Linked DNA regions of Neurospora crassa OR74A. The protein of the gene in region 1 purifies or fractionates together with the protein of each later gene. This does not show direct contact. Links are inferred from orthologs where the notes say so. Each region holds a gene or a part of one and is shown in the gene's direction. Other genes may lie near its edges. The genes, in order: cpc-2, NCU01612, NCU07041, NCU03066, rbg-40, NCU00925 and NCU06409.

Evidence for each region.
Region 2: the proteins of cpc-2 (region 1) and NCU01612 purify together in Saccharomyces cerevisiae (affinity purification with mass spectrometry; 5 studies listed by BioGRID). This does not show direct contact. The link is inferred for Neurospora crassa OR74A from reciprocal best matches to the Saccharomyces cerevisiae genes ASC1 and PRP43.
Region 3: the proteins of cpc-2 (region 1) and NCU07041 purify together in Saccharomyces cerevisiae (affinity purification with mass spectrometry; 4 studies listed by BioGRID). This does not show direct contact. The link is inferred for Neurospora crassa OR74A from reciprocal best matches to the Saccharomyces cerevisiae genes ASC1 and KRR1.
Region 4: the proteins of cpc-2 (region 1) and NCU03066 purify together in Saccharomyces cerevisiae (affinity purification with mass spectrometry; 3 studies listed by BioGRID). This does not show direct contact. The link is inferred for Neurospora crassa OR74A from reciprocal best matches to the Saccharomyces cerevisiae genes ASC1 and NUG1.
Region 5: the proteins of cpc-2 (region 1) and rbg-40 purify together in Saccharomyces cerevisiae (affinity purification with mass spectrometry; 4 studies listed by BioGRID). This does not show direct contact. The link is inferred for Neurospora crassa OR74A from reciprocal best matches to the Saccharomyces cerevisiae genes ASC1 and RIO2.
Region 6: the proteins of cpc-2 (region 1) and NCU00925 purify together in Saccharomyces cerevisiae (affinity purification with mass spectrometry; 3 studies listed by BioGRID). This does not show direct contact. The link is inferred for Neurospora crassa OR74A from reciprocal best matches to the Saccharomyces cerevisiae genes ASC1 and NOP7.
Region 7: the proteins of cpc-2 (region 1) and NCU06409 purify together in Saccharomyces cerevisiae (affinity purification with mass spectrometry; 3 studies listed by BioGRID). This does not show direct contact. The link is inferred for Neurospora crassa OR74A from reciprocal best matches to the Saccharomyces cerevisiae genes ASC1 and KRI1.

Annotation. Positions count from the first base shown.
Region 1 is NC_026507.1:3,907,037-3,911,278, forward strand, and holds the start of cpc-2 (guanine nucleotide-binding protein subunit beta-like protein), read left to right. Parts: upstream 1-1,442; 5' UTR 1,443-1,638; coding exon 1,639-1,680; intron 1,681-2,006; coding exon 2,007-2,044; intron 2,045-2,116; coding exon 2,117-2,243; intron 2,244-2,320; coding exon 2,321-2,638; intron 2,639-2,851; coding exon 2,852-3,277; 3' UTR 3,278-3,763; intron 3,764-3,834; 3' UTR 3,835-4,144; coding exon of another isoform or gene 4,145-4,168; 3' UTR 4,169-4,242. Other genes in the region: NCU05809 (hypothetical protein), read left to right, coding at 1-698; NCU05811 (hypothetical protein), read right to left, coding at 4,145-4,168. UniProt on the Saccharomyces cerevisiae protein: Component of the ribosome, a large ribonucleoprotein complex responsible for the synthesis of proteins in the cell.
Region 2 is NC_026502.1:2,956,763-2,960,991, forward strand, and holds the start of NCU01612 (pre-mRNA splicing factor ATP-dependent RNA helicase PRP43), read left to right. Parts: upstream 1-1,429; 5' UTR 1,430-1,653; coding exon 1,654-3,852; intron 3,853-3,918; coding exon 3,919-4,044; 3' UTR 4,045-4,229. Other genes in the region: pp-2 (protein arginine N-methyltransferase HSL7), read right to left, coding at 1-422, 506-640. UniProt on the Saccharomyces cerevisiae protein: Pre-mRNA processing factor involved in disassembly of spliceosomes after the release of mature mRNA.
Region 3 is NC_026504.1:4,998,693-5,002,193, forward strand, and holds NCU07041 (90S preribosome/SSU processome component KRR1), read left to right. Parts: upstream 1-1,227; 5' UTR 1,228-1,406; coding exon 1,407-1,661; intron 1,662-1,719; coding exon 1,720-2,069; intron 2,070-2,136; coding exon 2,137-2,494; 3' UTR 2,495-3,001; downstream 3,002-3,501. Other genes in the region: NCU07042 (alcohol dehydrogenase), read left to right, coding at 3,149-3,207, 3,339-3,501. UniProt on the Saccharomyces cerevisiae protein: Required for 40S ribosome biogenesis. Involved in nucleolar processing of pre-18S ribosomal RNA and ribosome assembly. Essential for vegetative growth.
Region 4 is NC_026501.1:4,414,055-4,417,992, reverse strand, and holds NCU03066 (GTP-binding protein), read left to right. Parts: upstream 1-1,268; 5' UTR 1,269-1,373; coding exon 1,374-1,401; intron 1,402-1,472; coding exon 1,473-3,097; 3' UTR 3,098-3,438; downstream 3,439-3,938. Other genes in the region: NCU03067 (hypothetical protein), read left to right, coding at 1-250; NCU03065 (mitotic control protein dis3), read right to left, coding at 3,614-3,938. UniProt on the Saccharomyces cerevisiae protein: GTPase required for 60S ribosomal subunit export to the cytoplasm.
Region 5 is NC_026504.1:2,085,409-2,088,807, reverse strand, and holds rbg-40 (serine/threonine-protein kinase RIO2), read left to right. Parts: upstream 1-1,203; 5' UTR 1,204-1,367; coding exon 1,368-2,651; 3' UTR 2,652-2,899; downstream 2,900-3,399. Other genes in the region: rpn-1 (26S proteasome regulatory subunit rpn1), read right to left, coding at 1-185, 252-322, 395-524; NCU07723 (norsolorinic acid reductase), read right to left, coding at 2,942-3,399. UniProt on the Saccharomyces cerevisiae protein: Required for the final endonucleolytic cleavage of 20S pre-rRNA at site D in the cytoplasm, converting it into the mature 18S rRNA. Involved in normal export of the pre-40S particles from the nucleus to the cytoplasm.
Region 6 is NC_026501.1:6,705,681-6,709,724, reverse strand, and holds NCU00925 (pescadillo), read left to right. Parts: upstream 1-1,313; 5' UTR 1,314-1,441; coding exon 1,442-3,433; 3' UTR 3,434-3,544; downstream 3,545-4,044. Other genes in the region: gpit-2 (glycosylphosphatidylinositol transamidase 2), read right to left, coding at 1-656, 739-892; NCU00926 (hypothetical protein), read left to right, coding at 3,912-4,044. UniProt on the Saccharomyces cerevisiae protein: Component of the NOP7 complex, which is required for maturation of the 25S and 5.8S ribosomal RNAs and formation of the 60S ribosome.
Region 7 is NC_026503.1:1,301,258-1,305,352, reverse strand, and holds NCU06409 (ribosome biogenesis protein Kri1), read left to right. Parts: upstream 1-1,295; 5' UTR 1,296-1,404; coding exon 1,405-3,576; 3' UTR 3,577-3,772; downstream 3,773-4,095. Other genes in the region: NCU06410 (GTP-binding protein YPT52), read right to left, coding at 1-462, 523-586, 655-729. UniProt on the Saccharomyces cerevisiae protein: Required for 40S ribosome biogenesis. Involved in nucleolar processing of pre-18S ribosomal RNA.

The DNA of each region.
Region 1 (4,242 bases):
AGGATCTCCCTCTAGACGCCGCCATCCCTACCGACCTTCCCGTCCTCGATCCCGAACTCGACGGCGCCGCAGACAAGGCAGCCAAGAATTACATCCCGAGCTCATTCCCTTCCTTCCCCAGCGTGCACACCTACAAGTACACCCCCGAAAGCGTCGAGGCCGCCACGACCGCCCAGCACAGCATCATGACCGACACACAAGCCACCGTCACCATGACCCAGACCCAAACGATGGCCGAATCCCAGGCAGCAGCAGCAACAGCAGCAGTAGCAGCCCAGCAATCCCAGTTACCCACCAAGATTCCCCAACGACCACTGGCACCCGACGAGATCCCCCGCGGCGATCCTAAGAAGATCCGCGAAGCCGCCGCTAAGGAAGCCAAGGCCGGAGAGCAGGCGCTGCGCCGTCTCATGCGCGCCAGCAAGATCGCGAAGCAAAAGGACGTGTCGGCCACGGCACAGCGGGATCCGTCTCGCAGGGAGCGGTACGCGCTGTGGGAGGCGGCGATGCGCGAGCTGGTGGAGGACGACACCAAGGCGAAAGGCAGGGAGGTGGCGCCCGCGTCTATGCATAGTCAGCAGGGCCGGGTGGAGATTGCGGACCACAGCATGATTGTGAATGCGGAGAAGGGGTATTATCGGAAGGAGGTGGCTAGGCCGGGGGTGAGGAAGTTGGCGGGAGAGTTGACGGGGAAGTAAGGCGTGAGGTGACCGCAGGGCAGTGGTGATGAAGATGCTTACGAGGGAAGGGGTCATCTAGTTCAAGGATGACGAGGCTACTATGAGCGCACGGTTGGCTTTGGTTATGGCATGGTTTTGCGAGAAGGTACATGGAGGCCGGACAGAATGGCATGTGAAAAGAAAGGAGAAGTCATCGGTCACGACCAGTGTCATGTTCACAGAATTACGGCTATGAAGATGGCACAAAGCTATTGTTGCTTGATTCACAAGGCTTGGGGAGTTATGGGGTTGGCGCATCATTCAGAGCATTAGCATTTGTTGTCATTCTTGAGTTTATACAAGATACCCATACAGAGATAAAGATAGACGGACAATGGTCTATACAGCGGATGTTAAGTGGTTCCGATAATACATCATTGTGTAGAACTTGATGTACTGTTCTTCCATTAACGAATTTCGATCCGAACACACGTCTATTGCTCCAGATGTATTTCGAGTGAAGTCATATCTGAACCTTGGTGAATTTGTTTGTCATCGACCGGTGACAGACGGGTAGTGAAGCTCTCAAGTAACTAAGTACTTGTATACTTGAACGCTGCCAGCCTTTGCCGGGCCGGCAATGGCACAGTGCACTTGAAGTGACGACACCGCAGTTCCGGGCTGGCAGGCCTGGGCTGCAGTCGGTGCCCCCGCCAAAAGCGAGTGAAAAGACAGTGTGAGCCCGCCATTTCGAGGCGACAGCGCCAAGACGGCAGCCGACCCCACCGCCCAGCGACCGCAGTTGGCTGTGTCGGCCGACCCTATTTTCCGCCGCACAAAAATTTCCGGAATTCCTCGATCTCGTCGCCTGTCTCCGCATTGTGCCTTTGACGATTTCTGACCCGCGCAGAGGCACCGTGAAAAAGCTCCCCCATTCTCCCATTGATCCTCCCCTGATCAACCAGAAAGGAACTGCAAGATGGCTGAGCAACTCATCCTCAAGGGCACCCTGGAGGGCCACGTAAGTTTGTTTTATTTCTTGCCCGCTCGGTTCGCCCCCGTTTCGCTGATGTTGCTGCTGCTGCTGCTGCTGCTGCTGCGGTTGCTGCCATGTTGTTGTTATTGTCAACGTCTGCGCTGGTGGGTGGGCTAAGGAGGAGCGCGATGGGCGCAAACTGAAACGGGTACTGCGAACGGCGAGAAGCAAGTTGGACGGCGACGATGATGGGGACATGGCAGCAGAGCAGACAGCAAGCACAGCGATTCGAAAGAAAGAAAGAGAGAGAGATGTGGTGGGAAAGCAAGCAAGGCGGAAATGCAGAAAACTGACCACAATATCTTGAACAGAATGGCTGGGTCACCAGCTTGGCCACCTCTTTGGAGAAGTACGAAACCACCGAATGAACCGCATAATACTCGCGCGAAGATCATGAACTTACAAATGCTCTCGCAATTAGCCCCAACATGCTCCTTTCTGGTAGCAGAGACAAGTCCCTCATCATCTGGAACCTCACCCGCGATGAGACCTCGTACGGCTACCCCAAGCGCCGTCTCCACGGCCACTCTCACATCGTCTCCGACTGTGTACGTTAAATACTCGACATTGGAGGATTGTGTGGATATTTTGGAATCGCGGGCAGTTTGACTGATTGGCGCGGCAGGTGATCTCTTCCGACGGTGCCTACGCCCTCTCTGCCTCGTGGGACAAGACCCTCCGTCTCTGGGAGCTTTCCACCGGCACCACCACCCGCCGTTTCGTCGGCCACACCAACGACGTTCTCTCCGTCTCTTTCTCCGCCGACAACCGCCAGATCGTCTCCGGTTCCCGCGATCGCTCCATCAAGCTGTGGAACACCCTCGGTGACTGCAAGTTCACCATCACCGAGAAGGGCCACACCGAGTGGGTTTCCTGCGTCCGCTTCAGCCCCAACCCCCAGAACCCCGTCATTGTCTCCTCCGGCTGGGACAAGCTCGTCAAGGTATGTTGTATAACCTGCTTTACTCCCCCCCCAAAAAAAACCCGACACCATGATGCATGCATATTTTTCTCAAAATAGTATTTGCTACTTCAGAGCCCTCGGGCCATGAGACCAACATCACACGCACTGATTTTCTCGGAAATCACAAACTCCTTGTCAGAAACTGCATGAGATTTCGAGAGGATTTGCGACTAACAGTCTCAACTCAATCAGGTTTGGGAGCTCTCGTCCTGCAAGCTCCAGACTGACCACATCGGTCACACCGGCTACATCAACGCCGTCACCATCTCCCCCGATGGCTCCCTCTGCGCCTCCGGTGGCAAGGACGGTACCACCATGCTCTGGGACCTCAACGAGAGCAAGCACCTCTACTCTCTCAACGCCAACGACGAGATCCACGCCCTTGTCTTCTCCCCCAACCGCTACTGGCTCTGCGCTGCCACCTCCAGCAGCATCATCATCTTCGACCTCGAGAAGAAGAGCAAGGTCGACGAGCTCAAGCCCGAGTTCCAGAACATCGGCAAGAAGTCCCGCGAGCCCGAGTGCGTCTCCCTCGCCTGGTCCGCCGATGGCCAGACCCTCTTCGCCGGTTACACCGACAACATCATCCGTGCCTGGGGTGTCATGTCCCGCGCTTAAGCGGAGACGTCGGAGCCGGGACTGGTTGGCTAGGGGACGTTGTGGACGGGAGGCTGGCTGCGCGCAGGTTGTCGGCAGTTGTCCGTGAAGGACGACGCCGCTCCAAGCGTCGTGCGGCTGCTGCTGCCGCCGCTGCTGCTGCATCAGGGCAATTTCGAAGGATTCCATGGTAAAGGCGTATTCTCGGAACTGCTTTGTATCGTCTTTGCTTTCTTTCATTTTAAAACATATCAAAATGAAAGGACAACTGGGAGCTATGGGAACAAGTTGCATTCTAATGTCACTGCGAAAGAGCCTCTACGTGCAGCGTATTTTTGGTCCACCACATGGCAATGAATGATAATGAAGGCCAAGATGAACCATTTGATGTGTCCGTTTGCGGTGATGTGTGATGTGTGGTGATTGACGCGTGATGCATTCGGGGTTATGTTGTGTGATGTGGTGAATTGGTATCAATGTTGTCCCCATCCTCAGCGCCTCTAAGTTGTAAGCTTCCTGATATCCATTTCACTCGTTCACATCCCGCTCACTCAAGTCGTCCTCGTCGACATTCCTAGCTACTCGACCACCTCGAAAGTCTCCTTGACGTACGCGTACAATACCCACAACTACCCTTCTATCTCCTAGCCAACACAACCTCATTTTCATTATCATCCATTCCCCTTCATCTCCCCAACCCTACATATGCTAAATCTCCCTTCACACCACCCATTCCCCTTTCCATTTCCCTTTCCACCAATCTCATCCTCTTTCCTCCCTAGAGTACCGAAGCCATCCCCAACTCCATCTTTCCCCATCTCGTTTCTTTCTTAGGTACTCTTCCATTTCCATTCCCGGCCTCAACTGGCCATACTCTTCTACACCCTTCTACCCTTCTACCCTCGAAACCCTCTTTAATAAATCCTCCATCGGTAAGCGGGCGCTGGACTCCATCAACAGGACCAGGAACCCAAGAATGATCCTGG
Region 2 (4,229 bases), on another chromosome or scaffold:
ACACGACCACCGACTTCCTGAGCCTCCTGAATGGCACGTGCATACTGAGCAACGGCACGGCCATCGTCCTGTCTTGGGCCGGGGATAATGATGGTCCTGGAGCCGCAGAAGTTGGCGTAGGCGAGCTCGAGGTTCAGCACCTGACGGGAGATGTCTGAGATGATGGGATCGGCAGAGCAGAGGTCGATCCATGGGCTGGCATAGGCGATGAGCGAGCCAACATAGCTGCTGGGAAACAGGGATGTATCGTCGTCAGTCAAGGTAGGAACCGTAGGAAGTGGCAGCGACGGGTTGGCCTTTTGGGCGTCAGTGAGTCCCCGTTCGGTGACCCACTGTTCCCGTTCTTGGAGATGGCTCTTGTACAAGTCGATCACGCGCTGGTGAAAGTGCTCGTTGGTGATGGGGGTGGTGACAAAGTTGAACTATTCTCATCTCATGTGTGTTAGAATTTATGCTGTTGCTCGTTCTTCTTTCTCTTCCTACTTTAATGTAAGGAAAGACTTACACCACTGTCCAAGATCTGGCCGTACTGATTGTCAGTGGGCGACTCATGTCGTTGGACATCATGCTGGCCAATGTAAAAGGGCGGCCGTTGCTCGAAAGACTCGGACTCGGGGTTAAACCCGCGATTTGAAGACATGATGAGTGAGTGACTGGACTTTTATGTGAATCCGAGTGAGTGAAAGAGAGTGGACGAGACTAGAAGTAAATAACCCCGCGATGGTCCAGGTTAGGTTTGAGGTGGTACGAACAGCAGCGGGAGGGGTACGGAGAAGGTAGCTATACTAGTCTCTGGGGCCTGTATACAGTAGAAGAATGTATAGGCTGTACTTTGATGAGGTATCGGACCCAATCACAGGGAAAATTGTAAAGACTGAAATCAAAGTTGGATGGTACTTTTTTTTTATTTTTCCCAAAACGGACTGACCCCATGGCAGTGGATATTTCCAGGGAAGAAGCACCAGAGGAAAAAGTCCAACCTCAACGGTCACCAACTCGAAATAAACAGGTATGGAGGGGTATAGATGGATAGGTACATGGAAAATGAAATAGCTGAGTGAAAGAAAGATTGCACACAAACCCAATGCGCCAAAAGTCACAATGTCACAATGTCACAATGTCACAAACTTCATCAACCTGCCTGCATTTTGCCTCTTTTTTTCTTTCTTTTTTTTTTCTTCTTCACGTGCAGCAGGAACAAACTGAGTGAACCTGACAGTTACAGAACAGTGTAGAAAATTACCGTCTTAGTGCCCATCAGGGTCCTGTCCAATGCTACAGTGATTTGCTTATCAGCGCTTGCCAAAGACACTCCTTACTCCACTGAAGCTTATCACTGTGACCCCTCATTGGTCGAGAGTCGCTGCGGCCAGGAACTGCCGGCCAGGTCTGACCTATCGCCCTGACATCAAACAAAAAAAAAGTTGTAGCCTCGCATGCCTGCCCACTGCCCTCCCCTCCACTCTGTTTCGCTGTTGTTCATCACTGCCACTGGAGGTGCCATAATCGACACTCCGCCTTCTGTTTTGCCTATCGCCGCTTCTCTTCTTCCCCTTCAGTTCGGTCTTCTTGTTTTGTTTCCTAGTACCCACCCCTCTCGCTCGAAGAAACAAGATATAAAAAAAAGGCCAGCTGCCCTCGGTCGGTACCACAATGGCCAGCCACGACGACAAAGGCGTCAAGAGATCCAACATGGACGGCAACGACCAGGACTCAAAGCGCATCAAGCGTGCCGAGAATGGCGATGCTGCCCCCGAAAAGTACAACCCCTACCTCGCCCATCTCAACGAGGACGGCAACGGCAACGGCACCAATGGCGACTTCGAATCGCCCCTCGACGCCTTCGAGAGGCACAAGACCACCGCCGCCCAGGCCGCCCAGGCCGAGGACTCGGAGCTCAACCCGTGGACCGGCCAGCCGCACTCGCAGAGATACTTCGACATCCTCAAAGTGAGGCGCGACCTCCCCGTCCACAAGCAGCGCCAGGAGTTCCTCGACATGTACCACAACACCCAGATCCTCGTCTTCGTCGGTGAGACGGGTTCCGGAAAGACCACCCAGATCCCCCAATACGTCCTCTACGACGAGCTCCCCCACACGAACGGCAAGCTCATCGCCTGTACCCAGCCCCGAAGGGTGGCGGCCATGTCGGTTGCCCAGCGTGTCGCGAACGAGTTGGATGTCGAACTGGGCCAGGAAGTCGGTTACAGCATTCGTTTCGAGAACCGGACCGGCCCCAAGACCATGCTCAAGTACATGACGGATGGTCAGCTCCTGCGCGAGTCCATGCACGACCACGACATGTCCCGCTACAGCTGCATCATTCTCGATGAAGCCCACGAACGTACCCTCGCGACCGATATCCTCATGGCCCTGCTCAAGCAGATCGCCGCCCGCAGGTCAGACCTCAAGATCATTGTCATGTCTGCCACGCTCGATGCCCAAAAGTTCCAGTCCTACTTCTACAACGCCCCATTGCTCGCCGTCCCCGGTCGTACCCATCCCGTCGAGATCTTCTATACCCCCGAGCCCGAGCGTGACTACCTCGAGGCCGCCGTACGGACCGTCCTCCAGATCCACGCCACTGAACCCGAGGGAGACATCTTGCTGTTCCTTACTGGTGAGGAGGAGATTGAGGATGCTTGCCGAAGAATCAGCTTGGAGGTGGACGACATGATTCGCGAGTCGGATGCTGGCCCCATGAAGGTTTACCCTCTTTACGGCACTCTCCCTCCTGCGCACCAACAGCGCATTTTCGAAAAGGCCCCCGAGCCCCTGCGCAAGGGTGGCAGGCCTGGTCGCAAGGTCATTGTCTCGACCAATATTGCCGAGACGTCCTTGACAATCGATGGTATCGTCTACGTCGTCGACCCCGGTTTCAGCAAGCAAAAGATTTACAACCCCCGCTCTCGTGTTGAGTCTTTGTTGGTTTCTCCTATCTCGAAGGCCTCTGCTCAGCAAAGAGCTGGTCGTGCTGGTCGTACACGGCCCGGTAAATGCTTCCGTCTTTACACCGAGAAGGCTTTCAAGAAGGAACTTATTGAGCAAACCTATCCTGAAATTCTCCGATCCAACCTGGCCAACACTGTTCTGGAGTTGAAGAAGCTTGGTGTTGAGGATTTGGTACACTTTGATCTCATGGACCCTCCTGCGCCCGAGACCATGATGCGCGCCCTGGAGGAGCTTAACTACCTCGCCTGCTTAGATGACGATGGTGAGCTTACGCGTCTCGGTGGTTTGGCTTCCGAGTTCCCGCTTGACCCCGCCCTCGCCGTCATGCTTATTTCGTCGCCCGAGTTCTACTGCTCCAACGAGATCCTTTCCATTGTGTCCCTCCTCTCCGTCCCTTCGATATGGGTACGCCCCAACAACGCGCGTAAGCGGGCCGACGAGATGAAGATGCAGTTCGCCCACCCCGACGGCGACCACCTGACGCTGCTGAACGCCTACCACGCCTTCAAGGGTGCCGAGACCAATGGCGACGACATGAAGCGCTGGTGCCACGAGCACTTCCTCTCATACCGTCACCTGTCGAGCGCCGATAACGTCCGGGCTCAGCTCAAGCGTATTATGGAGACGCACGACATTAGCCTGGTCAGCACGCCGTTCCAGGACAAGAACTACTACACCAACATCCGCCGCGCGCTCCTGGCTGGCTTCTTCATGCAGGTGGCCATGCGCGAGAGCAGCAACAGCAAGGTGTACAAGACGGTCAAGGACGACCAGCTCGTCATGATCCACCCGAGTACGTCGGTGACGAGCCCATACGACTGGGTCGTCTATAACGAGTTCGTTCTCACAACCAAGCAGTACGTCAGGACAGTGACCAACATTCGTCCTGAGTGGCTTCTTGTACGTATTCCCCTTTTATGAATTCCCTTTGTCAATGGCATCTTGAAACTGACCTATGTAAACCAGGAAATTGCCCCCGTCTACTACGACCTCGATACCTTTGAGAAGGGCGAGATAAAGTCGGCGCTCACTCGTATCACCGACAAGGTCAAGCGGAGGCAAGCCATCAAGGGCAGCGGCAGCGCGCGTTAGTGGCGTTGTAGAGACAGGAAGAGAAAGAACAAGTCTTCTTCCGCTGCTGCTGTGGTAGCTGATGGTAGTGGTCGTTGTGAAGAGACCAAGGATACCGAGAAAGAGAAGCCGAGTCGCCCGCCGCTCGTACACGTTACGGAGAACATCGCCCGCACCGGTGCGACCTCTTCCGCCGGGAACAGCAA
Region 3 (3,501 bases), on another chromosome or scaffold:
AGGTCAACGTCCCAGAAATGACGTCTGTGCTTATGATGAATTCGATTTGTTTCTTTTCCTTTTCTCTTCTTCTCAAGGATAGACAACGACAATTGCCGTCGATCTTGGCAAAGGTCACAAGAAGCAGCGATACCTGAAGGTCTTGGGGTTCGGGATAAAGACCGACGCCAGGGATACGAAGGGGAAATCGAAGGGAGTAGTGTAGAATGTCGCGGGGCCGAAGAAGAAAAAGAAGGGGAAGATGTTGCAGGGACGGAAGGAGTTCTGATTCTTGGCGACACAAAACCGAACCTACCCCTTTCTGACGGAAAACGTTGATGGATTTCGAAACCTCGTGCACGGAATGCTGTAATCCGTGGCGTACCACAGTGCAGATTGTGCTTGCCCGATCATGATGACCACAGCGCGCCAGGGTCGTCAGATCTTTGCAGGTTCTCATTGGGCGAACCTGGGATGATTTCTTGGTTCTTCAGCTGGAAAACCAACGACGAACGTTATCCAGCCTTACCGCGACTTTATCACGGCGAACCTGAAAATTGCTGCTGTTAAGTTCGTCAACTTTGACTCGGGCGGGATTCGATGCTTCACCATCAATTACTTCAGCGTATCTTGAACACCTTGGTGAGATTTTACCGACGGTACAGGTGTCAACAATGGCCCTGCTGGGAGTATACAAATCACGTTGAGACCCCAGCAAGTCAAAACGCTCTTGTCGCCAATCCCACCATGGCATATCAAGACCTTTTGATGTCGCCAGCACGTGTGATTTCTTGTTGATGTTCCGTGCCGTGCCGTGCAAGCCCCTGTCATGATAAGCTAGTATGTAGATAAGATAACATCTACAACCTGGGGGGAAAAAACAGCTGAAAGGAGCAGATGGCCAAGAGTACTTGGATAGACTCGTTGCGAAGTACAGCAGGACAGTAATGACAGAACCAAACTTCCACCTCGCTGAGATTTGAAATAACTGAATCCGGTCGTTTTCTTATATTTGCTCCTTTTTTATGCTGTTGTCGTCCTCAATGAAAATACCAGGTTCCAAAAGTTACAACTTCCATGCAAGTGGAAGTTCCAGTTATCAGATAAGGAGCTGCCCCTGCATCTGCCAGCTGGCCGCTGATCCTGTCGCGCTTCTGCAGCCGGAACTCAACCTGCAAGAAGCGCCGCGCCCCCACTCTTACCAGCTGCGGCAGGCTTGTGTTCCAAAAATTTCCATCCGTGCAGCGCGATTCGGCTGGCCATCTTGCCATACAATCCCTTCAACAAGCCATTTATCAAATCCAACCACCAGACCCAAGTCGCTCGCCCTGATATCGTGACCTGTCGCACAACCTCAATCGAGACCTCTGATTATTCATAAACATCAACAGCCCACAAGAGCCCCGAGAAACACATTTACAGCCAAAATGCCGTCCACACACAAGAAGGAGAAGCCGTGGGATACAGACGACATCGACAAGTGGAAGGTCGACCCTTTCACCAAGGACGAATCCTCCGGCCCCTTCCTCGAGGAGTCTTCGTTTATGACCCTATTCCCCAAGTACCGCGAGCGTTATCTACGAGACTCGTGGCCACTCATCACCAAGGCCCTCGACAAGCACGGCATCACCGCAGTTCTCGATTTGGTGGAGGGTTCCATGACAGTGAAGACGACAAGAAAGGTACGGCGGATGCGTTTGTTGTCTTTATAGTCACCACTCTTTGCTAACTCACGTCCAGACATATGACCCCGCAGCTATTCTTAACGCCCGCGATCTCATCAAGTTGCTCGCCCGTTCAGTACCAGCCCCACAAGCGATCAAAATTCTCGAAGATGGCATGGCCTGCGACATCATCAAGATCCGCAGCATGGTACGGAACAAGGAGCGTTTTGTTAAGAGGCGCCAAAGAATTCTCGGACAGAACGGCACAACGCTCAAGGCTCTCGAGCTTCTCACACAAACATATATCCTCGTGCACGGAAACACAGTGTCGGTAATGGGTCCTTTCAAGGGTCTGAAGGAGGTGAGGAGGGTTGTTGAGGACACCATGAACAACGTTCACCCAATTTACATGATTAAGGAGTTGATGTAAGTTTTGCGCCTGCACGCCCACTTGCGACGCCCCACAACAACAATAACTGACATGAGAAAACAGGATCAAACGCGAACTCGCAAAGGACCCCGCTCTTGCCCACGAAGACTGGTCTCGTTACCTCCCCAACTTCAAGAAGCGCACGCTTTCCAAGCGCCGCGTCCCCCACGTCGTCAACGACAAGACCAAGAAGAACTATACACCCTTCCCCCCTGCGCCCGAGAAGAGCAAGGTGGATCTCCAGATCGAGTCCGGCGAATACTTTCTCGGCAAGGAGGCCAAGCAGCGGGTGGCGGAGCAGGAGCGCGCAGAGAAGGCCAAGCAGAAGAAGGAGGAGAAGAAGCGCGAGCGCGAGAAGGAGTATGTGCCGCCCGAGGAGTTGACGGACAAGAAGGCCAAGAAGAGGAAGACGAGCGACTAAGCTGGTACAAGTGGTGCAATCCAAAATATGGGGGCGGTGGAGGTGGAAATGGAGTTGAGGAAGACGATGATGAAGAGAAAGAGAAAGGATCCTGGAATCCCATGATACCCATACTTCAGCAGACGATTGAGATTTCTCCTGCTTCGGGATCCAAGGGTGATCTGGTTGCTAAATTTCACCAAAAGCCTTTGTCAAATGTGTTATCAAAAACAATGACTTGTCCAGAAAAGATGTCGGTTCTTGAATCTGTCGACATTTCGAAACCCAAGGCCGAAACAAAACCCGATGACGATCGCGAATAAAGCCCGATGTGGCAGACCCGCACCACAACCGGGCTGCTCCACCCCGGCGGATCGCAAACCAGGGGCATCACAAGGCGGGCCGAGGCAGTTGCATCATTGGAGCGGGATCCGGCAACGAATGCGGGGGAGAGTGGGGGCGGCCATTGGTCGGTGGCAGGGTTGGTGGGAGAGGCTCAATGACAGAGTGACAACACCCCTTTCCCCGGGTCCAATTGATAACAAATCTGGCCGATGTCGCAACTGATTTAAACTTGATGACCCTTTCCTTCTTTCACTTCTTGAACATACTTCAACACTCATCCAGTGGATTGGCCTCGGTAAAACACAACCCACACATAAACACAACGCCAAGATGCCTCTCCAACTCACTGTCAAGAAAATTGACGGTAAACCCGGCCAGGTTTACTACCCGTAAGTGTTTTGTTCTTCCTCTTCACATAACCTCACCTTTCTTCTCCCCCATACATATCCCCATCACCACCACCAACCAACTCACTCCCACCATCCTCCCCGCATGACTAACCCTCGGCCTCCCCATCTAGCCTCCAACTAAACACCATCCCCAAACCAACCCCCGGCCCCGGCGAGCTTCTCATCCGCCTCCGGTCCTGCGCCCTCAACCACCGCGACCTCTTCATCCGCCAACACCTCTACCCCGGCATCTCCTTCGAGCAACCTTTTCTCGCTGACGGCTACGGCGTCGTC
Region 4 (3,938 bases), on another chromosome or scaffold:
TTCCGGTGCCATTCTGAGCGGTGACCGTTACAAACAGTTGGCTTTTACCAAACTCGGTGGTACACACAGACGCCTTGGCAAGTATGAGCAGGCAAAAGACCTGCTCGAGCAAGCAATGGCCATGTCGGCATCAAGTGAGCTGCGCATCGAAGCCAGTGGCGAGCTTGGTGTTATCTATCAGCACATGGACCTGATGGATGATGCAAAGCGTGTGCTTCGGGTTCAGTATGAAACAGCAAAGGAGTTTTAGGCGGAGCACTTCGCGTGCCGGTCGATCGGAAACCTCGATACGGTCAACTAGCAACTGTCCCAGCAGCGTTAGGATGAGTCGTTGTTGTAATTAGCGATAAATTAGCTCCTTGAACGCGTTGAAAGGGCCCATCAGATCAAGGATACAATTGACTCGCAAGTCCTGGATGCATTTACAAGAGAACAGCGATTGAAGGGTGCGATAACTTGGGAAACAATCGGTCTCTTCCGTCTTTCTCTACGCTAAATGGGGGATACCTACGGAAGAGTTTCTGAAGATACTCCCTCATGTGAAGCGTGATAAGCGTGGTTTCTGGGTGATATGTTACCTCCCCACCACAACCCCCTTTCTTGATGCGTATTCGATGCTAGCATGCTATTTTGCTTCAGGACTTTGTCTACGTAGGCCAAGATGACCCAATGTCCGGAGTGTCTGCTCTGCCGATAATCATTGCATAGTGCAATGCCATTGTCAGCTTAAGCGACGATCAATTATGCGAGCGGGGCACGGTGTTCTGTTGAATCCATGATGATCCAAAAACTCAAAAAAAGCGTACAGCGTCCATGTGTGGTATAAACAAGTGCTTGACGACAGAACTGATGGCATCCAGAACTGCACCTTGACGGACGGTTCGATGGATTTGAGGATCGTCATGGCAGACAAGTGTTTGATTGTTGAGACGGACCGACCTAAAGTCCTCTTTCTGGAAAGGCAATGCAAACCACTTGCGTAAAGAGTCGGTAGCAATAATTCTTCATATACATATAGAGAACAAGCGCAACCACACCATAAGTGTATCAATATAATTTACATTCCACGTTTGGCTAAACACAAATCAAACATACAATACGACTGTAAATTACAGGCACGCGCATCTCCACATTCGAAGCGGGGACTTCTGGAATCTTGGTGGAGTTCAACACGGCGGATCCCTGCTTTATCAGAGCTTATCTAGGCGGTCAGCAGTGGCACAAACCGTTCCTCCACTCTAATTTTTTGACGACCATCAATCAGTACAGCCGCCCATAGTAGCGACCGGATTTTGCTGCTTTACCTTGCTGTCCCATCCTCAATTATCCTCCTGTACCTCCTTTTTTGACATTAGGAGCAGCATATCTTCAAAATGGCCGGATCGATAACAAAGCCCAAAAGTCAGTCAATCTTTCGCTGAGAACAACATATTCTTCCAATCAACACATTGACTGACGTTACTTAAAAACAGAGCCGAAATCGAAGCGTACACCCGTACGCCTCAGGCACAAGATCCAGAAGGCCTCGGCCGCGAAGCAACGCAAGGACAGAAAGCTCGCCAAGAAGAACCCAGAATGGCGCTCCAAGCTCAAGAAGGACCCGGGTATCCCGAACCTTTTCCCCTACAAGGAGAAGCTGTTGAACCAGATCGAGGAGGACCGCATTCGGAGAAAGGAACAGGAGCAGAAGCGTCGTGAGATGGCCAAGGCGGCCAAGACTGGCCAGGACACCAAGACGGGCGCCGAGGGCGATGTCGAGGCGTTCGATGACGATCTGATGGACGACGACGATGCTATGGAGGAGGATGGTAGCGACGTTGACGATGAGTCGAACCCCCTCGCTGCCCTGGTGGCCAGCGCCAGGAAAGCTGCCGAGCAGTACGACCGCGAGCTCCAGAGCGGCGACGAGATGGACGATGACGACGAGTCCGACGACGAGACCGATGGCGAACCCACACAGTCCGGCGTTATTGAGGTTCCCGGCGGCGCCTCCTCGCGCAAGGCTTTCGACAAGGTCTTCAAGCAGGTTGTTGAGCAGGCTGATGTCATTCTTTACGTCCTCGACGCCCGTGATCCCGAAGGCACCCGCTCGAGGGACGTCGAGCGCGCCGTCATGGCCGCCGCCCACGGTGGTAAGCGCCTGATCCTCATCCTCAACAAGGTCGATCTGATCCCTCCCCCGGTCCTCCGCGGCTGGCTCACCCACCTGCGCCGCTACTTCCCCACGCTGCCGCTGCGTGCCTCCAACCCTGCCCCCAACGCCCACACCTTCCAGCACCGCGACATTACCGTCCAAAGCACCAGCGCGGCTCTCTTCCGTGCGCTCAAGTCGTACGCCGTCTCGCGCAACCTCAAGCGCTCCATCCAGGTTGGCGTAATCGGCTACCCTAACGTCGGCAAGTCGTCCGTCATCAACGCCCTCCTGTCCCGCCTCAGCAACAGCCGCGGCCAGCACAACGCCTGCCCGGCCGGCGCCGAGGCCGGCGTCACCACCTCGATCCGCCAGGTCAAGATCGACAGCAAGCTGACGCTGCTCGACTCGCCCGGTATCGTGTTCCCTTCCACTGCCGGCAACTCGACCTTCACCCCCAAGAACCAGACCGAGGCGCACGCCCACCTGGTGCTCCTTAATGCCATCCCGCCCAAGCAGATCGAGGACCCGGTCCCCGCCGTGACGCTGCTGCTCAAGCGCCTGTCGGCCACCCCCGAGTTGATGGACAAGATGATGAAGGTGTACGACCTTCCCCCCTTGCTGCGCGACCCCAACAACGGCGACCCCACCATGGACTTCCTTGTCCAGGTTGCCCGCAAGCGCGGCAGGCTGGGCAGGGGCGGTATCCCCAATATCCAAGCCGCTGCCATGACTGTCGTGACCGACTGGCGCGACGGTCGTATCCAGGGCTGGATCGATGCTCCCGTCTTGGCTGTGGCTGGTACCGCCACTGCTCCTGCTCCTGCTGGCGGCAAGTCTGCTACCGCTGATGAGCCCCTAGCGGATCAGAAGGTGATCGTGACCGAGTGGGCCAAGGAGTTCAAGCTGGATGGTCTTTGGGGAGATGAGGAGGAGACGGCGACTCCGGATGTTGAGATGCAGTAGAGCGATTTATTCCCCCTATCTTTGTCTGTTGGCAGTTGTTGTTGAGCATTTCACTTTTTGGTTTCTTTTTTGTTTTCGGTTGCGTCGGTGGTCAATGTCGTAATGAGTATTTTGTTGTTTTGCATGTCAGAAACACAATACAACGAACCCCGGAGCTGGACACATCTTTGTGAAGAGGCGTTTTGGCGTCAAGGTGGGAAAGAGCAAAAAGGGAGACAGGCAGGCCGGCTGGTAGAAAATAGGTCAAATATAGCCTGATCATAAACACCTCTATGACAAAGGCTTTTGAAGTGAAGCTTTAAATTCTTTCTGACATTCCCTGCATCGTTCATCATACCGAGCTGTGTTTTCAATGGCCTATTATCGAATTCGAAAGCAACGACATTCCGAAAATGACTTCATGAACGTTTGGATAGCCGAAAGTAAAAAAACAATGTATTGCTCTACAAAAGTCCATCAAGGGTATTCTTAACCTGTACCCCTTCTCAAATACTGAAGCATCCATCTTCAACAAATCTAATAAGTACTAACAAGCTCCATCTTCACCCCCCTCTTCCCCGTCGTCTCATCCTTCTGATCCGTCACCCTCACCCTGACCTTCTGGAACAACTCCACCTTAACCTCCCTGCTTCCCGATGTGGTCAGCGTGTACGTCTCGGCATCATACGTCGCCGCCGGCTCCGGCTCCGCCAGGTCACGCAGACGGATCAAGCTCTCGATACCGAACTTCGGCACGAGCACAACAAAGCCATTGCTAAAGATCTTCATGACGAAGCCGTCCTCCTCCGTAGCCTTGCCGCGCAGGGCCTGGCCGACATAATAAGCAATGCTGGCACGGCCG
Region 5 (3,399 bases), on another chromosome or scaffold:
AGAACATCTGCGAGAGATGACTTATCATCGCCAGCGGGCCACTCGTCGTAGAGTTTCGTCATGGTTTCATAATGCGGGCGCAGGAACTTGAGCGGCTTCGGTACCGCCGTCATGGAGGATGTGGATGTCTTGATAGAGTTCTTCATGGCCTCGAGGGCCGGCTTGTAGAGGGTCGCATCGGATTCCTGAAGACATTGTACTGTTAGAGAAGCCGGTCTTCAGCCTGTATCACGTCATTGCGAAGCACCAACCGTTAGCCGCTCAACGAGCATCTCAAGCTCGCTCTTGAGCTGCTGATCCTCTTCACTGAGTTCCTCGGAAGCTAACGCAAAGCGCTGTCAGCAGAAGCCCGGCGCCGATACCTCAAGTCGGTCGGAGTGGCCGAGAAACCCACCATTCTGTTCCTCCTCCTTCTTTCCGTTTGCGGGGGTCTTTCCATCGACATCTTGGTGCTTCTTCTCGTCATCGACGGCCTTTCCCTTGCCCTTATCGGCCGTCTTGGACAGGTCGCTTTCTTGCGCCATGATTACTGGCCGTGATGGTTGTAGGTGGGAGGATTCGCGGAGCCGATGGGTCCAGTTGGAGGGGAAACCAAGGTCGGTTGGGCTGGCCGGGGTAGGTGGACGCGGCGGTGGCGTTCGCTGCTGCAAGAAATGTTCAAGTTTTGTCACCGAGTTTGCTTGAGCGACAGGAACTTGAGCTCCAGTCGTGAGCAGAATGTCAAAATCAAAAGTGGATGAGCTGGCTGCGGTTGTTTGGAGGTTGTTATGTTGTTCAGGTGACGGTTTTGGAGGTTGGAGCTTTTGCAGGTTCGCCCAGAAGCACCTCAGTTGCTGAAAGCCAGCAAAGGTCAGTGGCAGTTACGGTACTAACGCCAGGGAGCTCCGATGGTGGTTACGCGACTCGCTTGCCGCCTGAAGCTCCCCCGTCTGGCTGAGAACGCCCCTGCGATCCAATGCTGCCCGCCTCAAGTGGGTCTGGAAGCCTCGGTGGGGACGAGGCGTCATCAGAGCCTGGAAGATACAAATTCCGCTCCCCCCAAGCTTCTGATAAGATAAGCTACTGGCCTGGACCTGGCGCTTGACCGGGCAGGCACAGCTCAGCGAATGGAGCCCACGGCCAGCCCTATCTTATCGGGAAGATGTTATCGCAACCGTGCATTTGGAATTTGGGGGACGCCCACTTTCCATTCTGGACATCAGCTTTGCGCTTCACCCACCTTGACTTTGACTTTGACGAGAGCGTCGTAGACAGCAACCTAATAGCTCTCTTGGATCAATACAACATCAGAAAATCTCTCACAGCAATTAGGCCGACAATCACCTGAGGGGAAAAAACAAAAAACATCCAAAAAGAAACACACAATCATGTTTTTGGACACCAGAGTTTTACGCCATCTCACGGCAGAAGACTGGAGAGTCTTGACTGCCGTTGAGATGGGCAGCAAGAACCACGAGCTCGTCCCGACCCCTCTGATCGAGAGAATTGCCCGTCTCAAGGGCGGTGCCAGTGGTGTTCACAAGAGCATAGCGACCCTTGCCAAGTCTGGCCTCATCGGACGCATGAAGGAGGCCAAGTACGACGGCTACCGACTGACCTACGGCGGTCTTGACTATCTGGCCCTACACACCCACTCCTCGAAAGATGTCGTCTACAGCGTTGGCAGTCGTGTGGGTGTTGGCAAGGAATCCGACATCATGATCGTAGCCGACAAGACCGGCAAGCAGAAGATTCTCAAGATCCATCGCCTAGGCCGCATTTCCTTCCGTACCGTCAAGTCCAACCGCGACTACTTGCGCAACCGGCAAGGCGGCTCATGGATGTATCTCTCGCGGCTTGCGGCCATGAAGGAATATGCCTTCATGCAGGCTCTCCAAGAAGAAGGCTTTCCCGTTCCCGAACCGATTTCCCAGTCCCGACACACTATCGTCATGAGCCTGGTCGAGTCCCTACCACTTAGACAGGTCTCCTCGGTTCCAGACCCCGCGAGCCTCTACGCTGAGCTTATCGACCTCATCCTTCGATTGGCCAAGCACGGGCTCATCCATGGTGATTTCAACGAGTTCAACATTTTGATCAAAGAGGAGCGGACCACCAAGTACACGATCGAGGACGGCGAGGAGAAGGAGACGGAGACGGTAACCCTTGTCCCAGTCATTATCGACTTCCCACAAATGGTGTCTATGGACCACGTAAACGCCGAGATGTACTTTGACCGCGATGTCGAATGCATCAAGAGGTTCTTCAAGAAGCGCTTCCACTTTGTGCCCACACAACCCGGTCCTTTCTTCAAGGATGCTAAGAAGACGGTTGGCAAGGATGGAGCTAAGCGGTTGGACGCCACTGTGGAGGCTTCAGGATTTACCAAGAAGATGCTCAAGGAACTGGAGAAGGCTATTCAGGAACAACAGGCGAAGATTGATGCGGGTGAGGCTGTGGAGGAAGAAGAACTCGACGAGGACGAGGACGAGGATGAGGAGGATGATAGTGGAAGCGATACAGATGATGAGGAAGATGAGGAAGATCAACAAGAGGAAGAGGAACACGCCGTGTTCGAGATTCCGGCAAATGTTGGAAGGCCTTTGTCAGATGCAGAGAAGGGGCTGGAAAAGTTATCACTTGGCGGCAAGGGCGGCAAGCGAAGGGCTTGAAGCACATCGAGAGGAGAAAAGAAACGCGTTTCATGTCAGCTTTGAGATACCCCCAAATCCTATGCATTTCTATCAAGCAAATTTGTACTAAGACGTGCCAAGCAGGTTTTTAAGACTTTACGCTTATCAGTTTTTTTGCAACCCATATGTTGATTATGACACCCTCCGCAAAAGCAGTTTGACACACGTCACAATCGAATAAAGCCCAACTTGAATCACATTGAAACGTACTAATACTTTAGCTTCTGCTCCCACCTAACCTTCAAAGACCTCTGGCGGCGATGTCGGCTCTACTGACCATTTTCCGCCGCTGGCACGATAGGCTTCGGCACCGGGACATAATCATATGTGCCCGCCATACCCATCAACCAAACCTGACTGGGGTGCGCAGGAACCTTCTCTCCATACAAGAATGAGCTAGGAAACCCAATATCGAACGGAACCGCGCTCTCAATCTCGTCGATATCCTTGTCCGACAACGCCAGCGTGAGCGCCTCAATGTTACCCTTCAGGTGCTCGACCGACCGGCCGCCAACAATCGGGAACACGTACGGAGCCTTGTGCATCACGTACGCCAGGGCGACGGAGGTGATGGCTGTGTTCTTACGCTGCGCAATCTTCTCCAGAGCCCGGCTGATTTTGATCTGCTCCTCGGTCGCCTTGATCTTGCGGCCTTCGTTGGCTTGCTGCTGGCGCTGCTCCTCCGATTTGAAGCTGCCGCCCCCGAGGGCCCCCCAGGGCGCGAGCC
Region 6 (4,044 bases), on another chromosome or scaffold:
GCCGATATTGGGGGCCAGGTCAGACAGTGTAAGTTGCACACCATAGGTGGAACTAAGGAACTCCCATGAGCCGGTCAGGAAGAACGACATTTGGAAAAGCACTGCCAGAGCACCAAACGCATCCATAACCATGGTCGCGGTAAACTTGATCCACGCATTGGGCGCTCCGGTAGCGGGCAACTTCTGCCTGTCATAGCAAAGAAGAATGAGAGGCGGGAGGAGGAGTAGCGGATACATGGAGAGGTATGATGCGAAGGCTAGGGCGACCATGGCGTGAAAGGGTCTGCCGGAGATGGCATTGGCGACGGCGTGGAGAATGGCACAGGTCGTGAAGACGGTGGTCGAACGCCCAATGCATGTCGCGATGGTGAAGGGGTTGAACAGGAAGAGCGCGGCAATGATGGCACCACTCCAACGCTTGTCACGGCGCGGGGAGGTGAAGCGCGCAGACGAGCTGGCCTCGCCAGACTCTGCAATCCTTAAAAGAGCATGGGCGCTCAGAATATCGATAGCGATGTAGAGAAGGTACGTGAAGATGGGAAACGCCGCGAAGCTCGGGAGCAAGTTGAAGATGGGCAGCAAGAGGGGCGCCTGGTGGTAGACGCCGCCATCGTAAGGAGAGACGTTATGGTTATACAGGAAGAGGCCTTCTTGGACTAGATTTTGGTAGTTAGCAAACCTGTGTTCCTCGAGACGATGCGACGAATGCCGAAGAGAAAAACAAAAGCTACAACATACGGCGCTTGAAGCTTGTTACTGGCGTTGAGATCTCGACACGGCCAGTCAGGAGGTCTGGAAGACCGGGGAACAGAGTAAAGAGGGCAAGTCGCAGGACGGCAGCACCGGCGTATAAGCCAGCCGTCCTCCTCAACGTTACCTTGCCGCCATTCATTGTTCAATTCGCCATACGACGAGGTGGGAGCTGTGATGTCGAACTTGTCCCAGGGTCAAGTTACTTCTAACGACATGCCCGTCCAGTTGCGCTATACAGGAGTCGCGCCCAGCACGTTAGGTCGCCTTGTCAATCGCTGTCCCCGCCAAAGCAGACCGACAGCTGGCCCGGCCTCCACAGCTGGCGGGTCCCTGTGGGACAAGGGGTTCTGGAATCCAATCCAGACGGGAGCGGGAACCTATCTGGGCCAGACGGGCCCAGTATGTATTCTAGTAGCCTCATCTGTGCCTATCTGATGCCTCCCGTCTTTCCATCCGCTACGTTATCTTATCTTTGATCAGCTCAGGCGGTGGGAAGTGGCATAAAAAGTTCAGGACCGCGAGGGTCAGAAAAAAAGTTGATTGCAAGTGCACAGAGCGCCCCCACCTACAATTGGCTTCGATAACGATCGAGTCTGCAGACTGAAGAGATCCATCCTTGGTCCTCTTCTCCTTCTCTCACTCTTCCACCTACACCCAACAACCACAACCACCACCACCACACCCCAAAATGCCAAAAATCAAGAAGAAGGGCCAGGCCGGCGCGGCCAAGAACTACATCACCCGCACACAGGCTGTGAAGAAGCTGCAGCTTAGCCTTCCCGACTTCCGCAAGCTTTGCATCTGGAAGGGTATCTACCCGCGCGAGCCTCGTAACAAGAAGAAGGTTTCCAAGTCGGCCACTGCCTCGACCACCTTCTACTACACCAAGGACATTCAGTACCTCCTCCACGAGCCCCTTCTTCAAAAGTTCCGTGACCAGAAGGTGCTCGAGAAGAAGATCTCCCGTGCTCTTGGCAGAGGTGATGTTTCGGATGCCGCCCGCTTCGAGCGCCATGCTGCCCGCCCCGAGGCCACTGGCAAGCCCAGGTACACTCTCAACCACGTCATCCGTGAGCGCTACCCGACTTTCAACGACGCGCTCCGCGATCTCGATGACTGCTTGTCCATGCTCTTCCTCTTCGCCAACCTCCCTTCCACGAGCGCGGTTCCCGCCAAGATGATCGCCCGCTGCGAGCGTCTCTGCCTCGAATTCCAACACTACCTTATTGTTTCCCACAGCCTGCGCAAGTCGTTCCTGTCGATCAAGGGTATCTACTACCAGGCCAACATCCAGGGCGAGGATATTCTCTGGCTCGTTCCCTACAAGTTCAACCAGAGGATCGTCGGCGATGTCGATTTCCGCATTATGGGCACTTTCGTCGAGTTCTACATGACTCTTCTTGGATTCGTCAACTACCGACTTTACAGCTCGATCGGCCTCAAGTATCCTCCCAAGTTCGACCAGCTCAAGGACGAGAACGGTGCTGAGCTCGGCGCTTTCTCTCTGGAGGGTGTCAACATGGCCACCCAGGGCGAGACCAAGGCCGTCACAAACGGGGAGGAACAACAGCAGGGTCCTGACCCCAAGGTCCAGGCTGAGGTTGACAAGATTATCAAGCAACTGAAGGAGGACGAGTCCAAGAGCGACGAGACTGCCGAGGAAGATGCCGAGGCCGACGATGAGGAGAAGCCCACAGACTCCATCGACAAGTTCGAGCCAGTTGCCCCTGGTGGTGATGTTCTTCCTCAGCCGGCGTACAGCAGCAGTGACCCTTCGCAGCTGTTCGCCAACTTCACATTCTACCTCTCCCGTGAGACCCCCCGCCAGCCTCTCGAGTTCATTCTTCGTGCCTTTGGCTGCAAGAGGATAGGCTGGGATTCCGTCCTCGGCGAGGGTGCCTTCACAAATGACGAGTCGGATCCCTCCATCACCCATCACATCATTGACAGGCCAGTCGTACAAGCCGCTACCAACGAGGATGGCGATGGCGAGGACAATCAGACGGCCCAGAAGGTCGGACCCAACCAGAGATACCCCGGCAGGATATATGTCCAGCCCCAATGGGTATGGGACTGCGTCAACGACGAGGAACTCAAGAGCCCTGAGCTCTATGCTCCTGGCGCCGCTCTCCCTCCCCATCTTAGCCCCTTCGTCAAGGCCGCCCCTGGCCAGTACGATCCTACTCTGCCCCTTGAGGCTCAGCAAACCGAGGCCGAGGCTATTGAAGCCGACCTCGAGGATGCCGAGAAGGGTAATGCTGAGGATGGTTCCGATGTCGAAAACGACATGGATGTTGATGAGGCCGAGGACGATGAAGAAGAGGAGGAGGGTGACGAGGAGGATGCCGAGGAGGCCGAGGAGGAGGATGCTGAGGAAGATGAGGAGGAGTCCAAGACCCTCCAGCGTCAGCTTGAGCTAGAAGCCGAGCTCCAAGGCAAGAAGGTGCAGAATACAAAGGTAGACTCCAAGACCAAAGCCAAGCTAGAACAGCGCAAGGCTCTTGAAAAGAAGGCACGCGAGGAGGCGGAGGACCTGGAGCGCGCCAAGGGCATGCTGAGCAAGAAGAAGCGCAAGCTGTTTGAGCAGATGCAGTATACCAACAACAAGAAGAGCGCTCAGGACGAGAAGCTCCGCGCCAAGAGGAGAAAGCTGGAGAAGGAAAAGGCGCAGAAGGCGTAAGGTTAAAACACTGGCAAGGCGTAATTTTTTAGCACTTTATGTTTTGAAATGGGATACCAAAGGCTCATTTTTCTCTTTTCTTTTTGTGTAATCGACAAGTTTTGAATCCTACTCGTCGTCCTGAACTGATGCAAATGTGAATAATCGTGACATGAAAACGAGCGCCCACGAGGCTTTCGTCTGAGGGTTAGGGGTCGCTACGAACCAAACCGTAACGCCCAAGAGAAGTTGGAACGAACCGAAAATAGGACCAACGAAAGGTGAGAGTACAAAGTAAAAGAATTGAGTGAGGAGTCAGAGGTTCATCAGTTTCTCCATCCTTGTTGCTGTGGTACTACTACTGGGATGCTTTCGTACGTCAGTGCGGTTCTTCGACCTTCAATCTCTTGTCACTCCCGTCCTTAGTGATTGATCACCAGAATTTGCACTCAACAACCCTGCCAACGCGGGAAGAGCACCCACTAAACTGGGCCATGCAATGTCTTCACACTTGAATCAAGAAGATTCCGGCGACGAGGATTGGGATAAGGACACTGAAGAGATTAATTCCATCGCATCAGATGAACTGCACGAAACCCGCCCCAATCGGTGGAATGGGGCCCCCTCCACAT
Region 7 (4,095 bases), on another chromosome or scaffold:
TCTTCAACGACGTCTCGGGGATGGCGTTTGCAATGGCTGTGAAAACCTCAGTAACGTTATGTCCGGTCTTGGCCGAAGTCTCAAAGAACAAGAGACCCTCCTCCTCGGCGTATGCCTTGGCCTCGTCCGTCGAGATCTTGCGTGCGTCGCCCGAATCCTCCGCATTGTCGTCGCCACCTCCGGAAGCCTCGGCAGAGCCGGCCGAGTCGCTGGTCAGATCCAACTTGTTGCCCACGAGCGCGATAACGATGCCGGGAGACGCTTGTCGCTGGAGCTCGGCGACCCAGTGCTTGGCCTTGATGAGTGAAGTAGGTTTCGTCAGGTCGTAAACGACAAGGGCGGCTTGGGCGTTGCGGTAGTACATGGGCGCTAGAGAGGCGAAGCGCTCCTGGCCTGCTGTATCCCAAATCTCGAACTTGATCGTCCTCGTGGGCAGGTTGCACTTCTGGGTTAGGAAGGCGGCTGCAAAAAAGTGTCAGCTAAACTGGTGCAAAGAAAGTCGTCATGACTTCAGGAACTAACCTCCTATCGTGGGCTCCTTGTTCTCTTGAAAGTCATTGTTGACGAATCGGAGGACGAGCGACGACTGTGGAACGATTTGTGTTAGGCATGTGTTTCTCGAGCATGGTGGTTTTGGAGCAGAAGACTGCGCACCTTTCCGACAGCAGCTTCACCTAGAAGCACCAGCTTGACGCTGCTGCTCGGCTTGGGCGCGTTCGTATCGGCCATTGTCGTTGAAGTGTATTGTTGCTACAAATCTGGGTGGATGGGTTGTGGAAACGGCGGGGCTTGCGGCAGCGAGCAACTACAGCAAGGGACAATAGCAAGAACGGCTATCTTTGATAATGCGACAGCGACAGAGCAGTGCAGTTGTGGAAGGGAGGACGTTGGGTGGCTGCCTGTTGGAAGACAAAAGATGTCTGAAGATGGATCGTTGATGGGTTGGGAATCGGAGTGAGGTGTGACGTGATAGGTAGACGGCAGCAATGAGAGTAAATGGATGGATGGAGCTTGTTCATTCAGTTAGTTCCCTTCCAGTCGGAAAGCCAGGCTCGCCGGGATCCAGCAGGCATTCGGTCGGGCCACGGGCAGGCGTCGCATGTCCTCGATGTCCCCCCTCGCTTGCGCTGTGAGTGGACTCCAACTTCCCCTCCATGCCAAGACTCATAGCCACATATGTATGCCTTTGTGAACCGTGCGCAATCTCGTGGCAGGCAAATTGGACTACAAGTACGTACCGCCAGCTGTAGCCCGGGGACTGGACTTCGAAAAGGTCCCCACTAAAAAGTTCACTTCGAAAATTTGGGGGCGTCAAAGTCGCAACGAAAGTCTTCCATCCTTTATGCGCCAGGATTGACTTTCCACCCCTTCGCCCTAGCATCTTCAAATCTAGCCCACCTCAAGATGCCTCGCCCAAAGTCAAAAGCGGCGAAAGCCAGAGTCACAGGCGCCAATACCGATCCCATTGTGCCTAGAAAGGGTCTGTTCGACGATGATGCCTCCAGCGAAGACGAGCAGGACGGCGGTGCCACCCTCGGTACCGCTGCCGACTTGAAGATCAATGAGGAGTACGCCCGCCGTTTTGAACACAACAAGAAGCGCGAGGAACTCCACCGTCTCGAGGAAAAGTTCAAGTCCAAGAAGGAAGGTGGGCTAGGCGAAGACGAGGACGAAGAGGACTCTTCCGAAGACGAGACCGAAGACGATGAGGGCTTCCTTGTCACCGAGGACCTCGACGCCGAAATCAACGCCACTCTAGAAGCTATCAAGAAGAGGGACCCCCGCATCTACGACAAGGAGGCCGTTTTCTACACGCCAATTGACGCCGACGGCCAGCCCGTCAAGGAGAAGAAGGAGAAGCCCATGACCCTGCGCGACTACCACCGCGAGAGGTACATGGCCGGTGACATCGGTGCCGACGAAGATGACGCGCCCAAGCCCAAGACCTATGCCGAGGAACAAGCCAACCTGAAGCAGAACATTCTGTCTGAGATCAATGCCGCTGTCGGCGAAGACGAGGAGTGGAGCGACGACGACGCCTTCATCAAGCCCGTCAAGAAGGAGGAGGCGCCTACCGAGAACGGCGTTCACCCGTCGCGCGCCAAGGCGATCGATCTTAACGAGCTCGACGTCAAGAACGCTGACAAGAACCCCGAGGAGTTCCTTTCCAAATTCATGCAGTCCAAGGCCTGGGCGCCCGCCGACGGCTCGCGCTGGGAGGCTTTCGAGTCGGACGAGGGTGAGGACAACTTCCCCGAGATGGCCGAGGAGTTCGAGCACGCCTACAACATGCGGTTCGAGGACCCCAACAAGAGCAACGAGTTGCTCAAGACGTACTCGCGTAACCTGGCCAACGCCAAGTCCGTCAGAAAGGAGGAGCTCACGGGCAGAAAGAAGCAGAGACAGCTCGAGAAGGAGCGCAAGGAGGCCGAGAAGAAGCAGCGCGAGGAGGAGCGTGCTCGTCTGCGCCGTCTCAAGATTGACGAGGCGGCCGAGAAGCTATCCAAGATCAAGAAGGCTGCCGGTCTCACCGGCAAGGAGCTGTCCGACGAGGAGTGGATGAAGTTCCTCGAGGACGCCTGGGACAACGACCGGTGGGAAGAGGAGATGCGCAAGCAGTTTGGCGAGGAGTACTACGCCGAGGGAGAAGGCGACGTGTCCGGCAGCGACGAGGAGGACGACGAGGACAACGAGGACGGCAAATCCAAGAAGAAGAAGAAGAAGCTGCCCAAGAAGCCCGAGTGGGACGACGATATCGACATCAAGGACATCATCCCCGACTTCGACGACGCTCCCGATGTTGTCCTTTCCGATCTAGACCTCCCCAAGCCCAACGGCGACGACCAAAAAGCCGAAGACGAGGACGCCGACCTCGGCTCCGACCTCTCCGCCGATGAAGATGAAGGCCGTCCCTCCAAGAAGCGCAAGACCACCGCCGACATCAAGAAGGAGAAGCAAGCCGCCAAGCGGGCAGCCAAGGCGGAACTAGCCAAGCTTGAAGCTTTGGTCGACACCAAGATGGAACTCGACACTCCTCGCGCGCTTTCCGCCCCCAAGGACAAGAAGTACAAGGAGAACCTGTTCCCGTTCCGCTACCGCGAGACTTCGCCCGTCTCGTTCGGCATGACGGCGCGCGATATCTTGTTGGCGCCCTCGGACGCCGCGCTCAACGAGTTCGCCGGCCTCAAGAAGCTGGCTACTTTCCGCGACGCCGAGAAGAAGCGCAAGGAACGCAAGAAGCTTGGCAAGAAGGCCCGTCTCAGGCAGTGGCGTCGCGAGACGTTTGGCAAGGAGTTCGAAGCGACTGGTCCTACCTTTGGGTTCGAGGCGCTGGACGAGGATGGTACGCCCCTTGGCAAGAAGGATGAGGGTGCGATTAAGCATAAGAAGAGGGGTGAGAACAAGGACAAGAAGAGTGGCGAGAAGAAGAAAGAGGAGAAGAAGGAAGAGAAGAAGGAGGAGAAGAAGGAGATTGCTGCTGGTGAACGGGGAGCGGATAATATCATCGAGGGAGAGAGGAAAAAGAAGAGGAAGAGAAGCAAGAACAAGAAGGACAGTGAGAAGGCTGAGGCCTAGAGTGCTTCGTTGCCACTTCGGTTGTCAGTATAGTTGGACAAGCAGTGGCGGTCACGTTTGTTTGTTCTGTTTAGGGTTTTGTATCGTTTAGTCTATTTTAGAAGGCGTATTGCATCGCGGTGTTACGGAGAAATCATACAAAGTTAGAATTAGCTATACCAATCCTCGATGCTTCCTCTCATCTCGGAGTTCATCGTCGTCTTCGCTACCTACTCAGTTACTCTGCATGACACTCAGATGGTGTTCAAGTTGTCTTCATGCTTTCCTGAAGAGAAGAGACACTCCCCTTCTCCCCCCTCTCCCCTTCCCCCCGGAGGCGGAGCGCCCGTCCTGTTACTAAAATCCGTCATCGCCACCCTTTCCTCTCTTCTATCCTCTTTTTTTTTTTTTTTTTCTCTTTCTTGTGCACTTTCGACCTTCCTAACATCTGGCCCTGTCTTCCAGTTGTTACTCTGTTGGCCACTACAACCAACTCCAGCCTCTTCTCATATTGTTGGCCACTTTGGCAGAATAATCAGG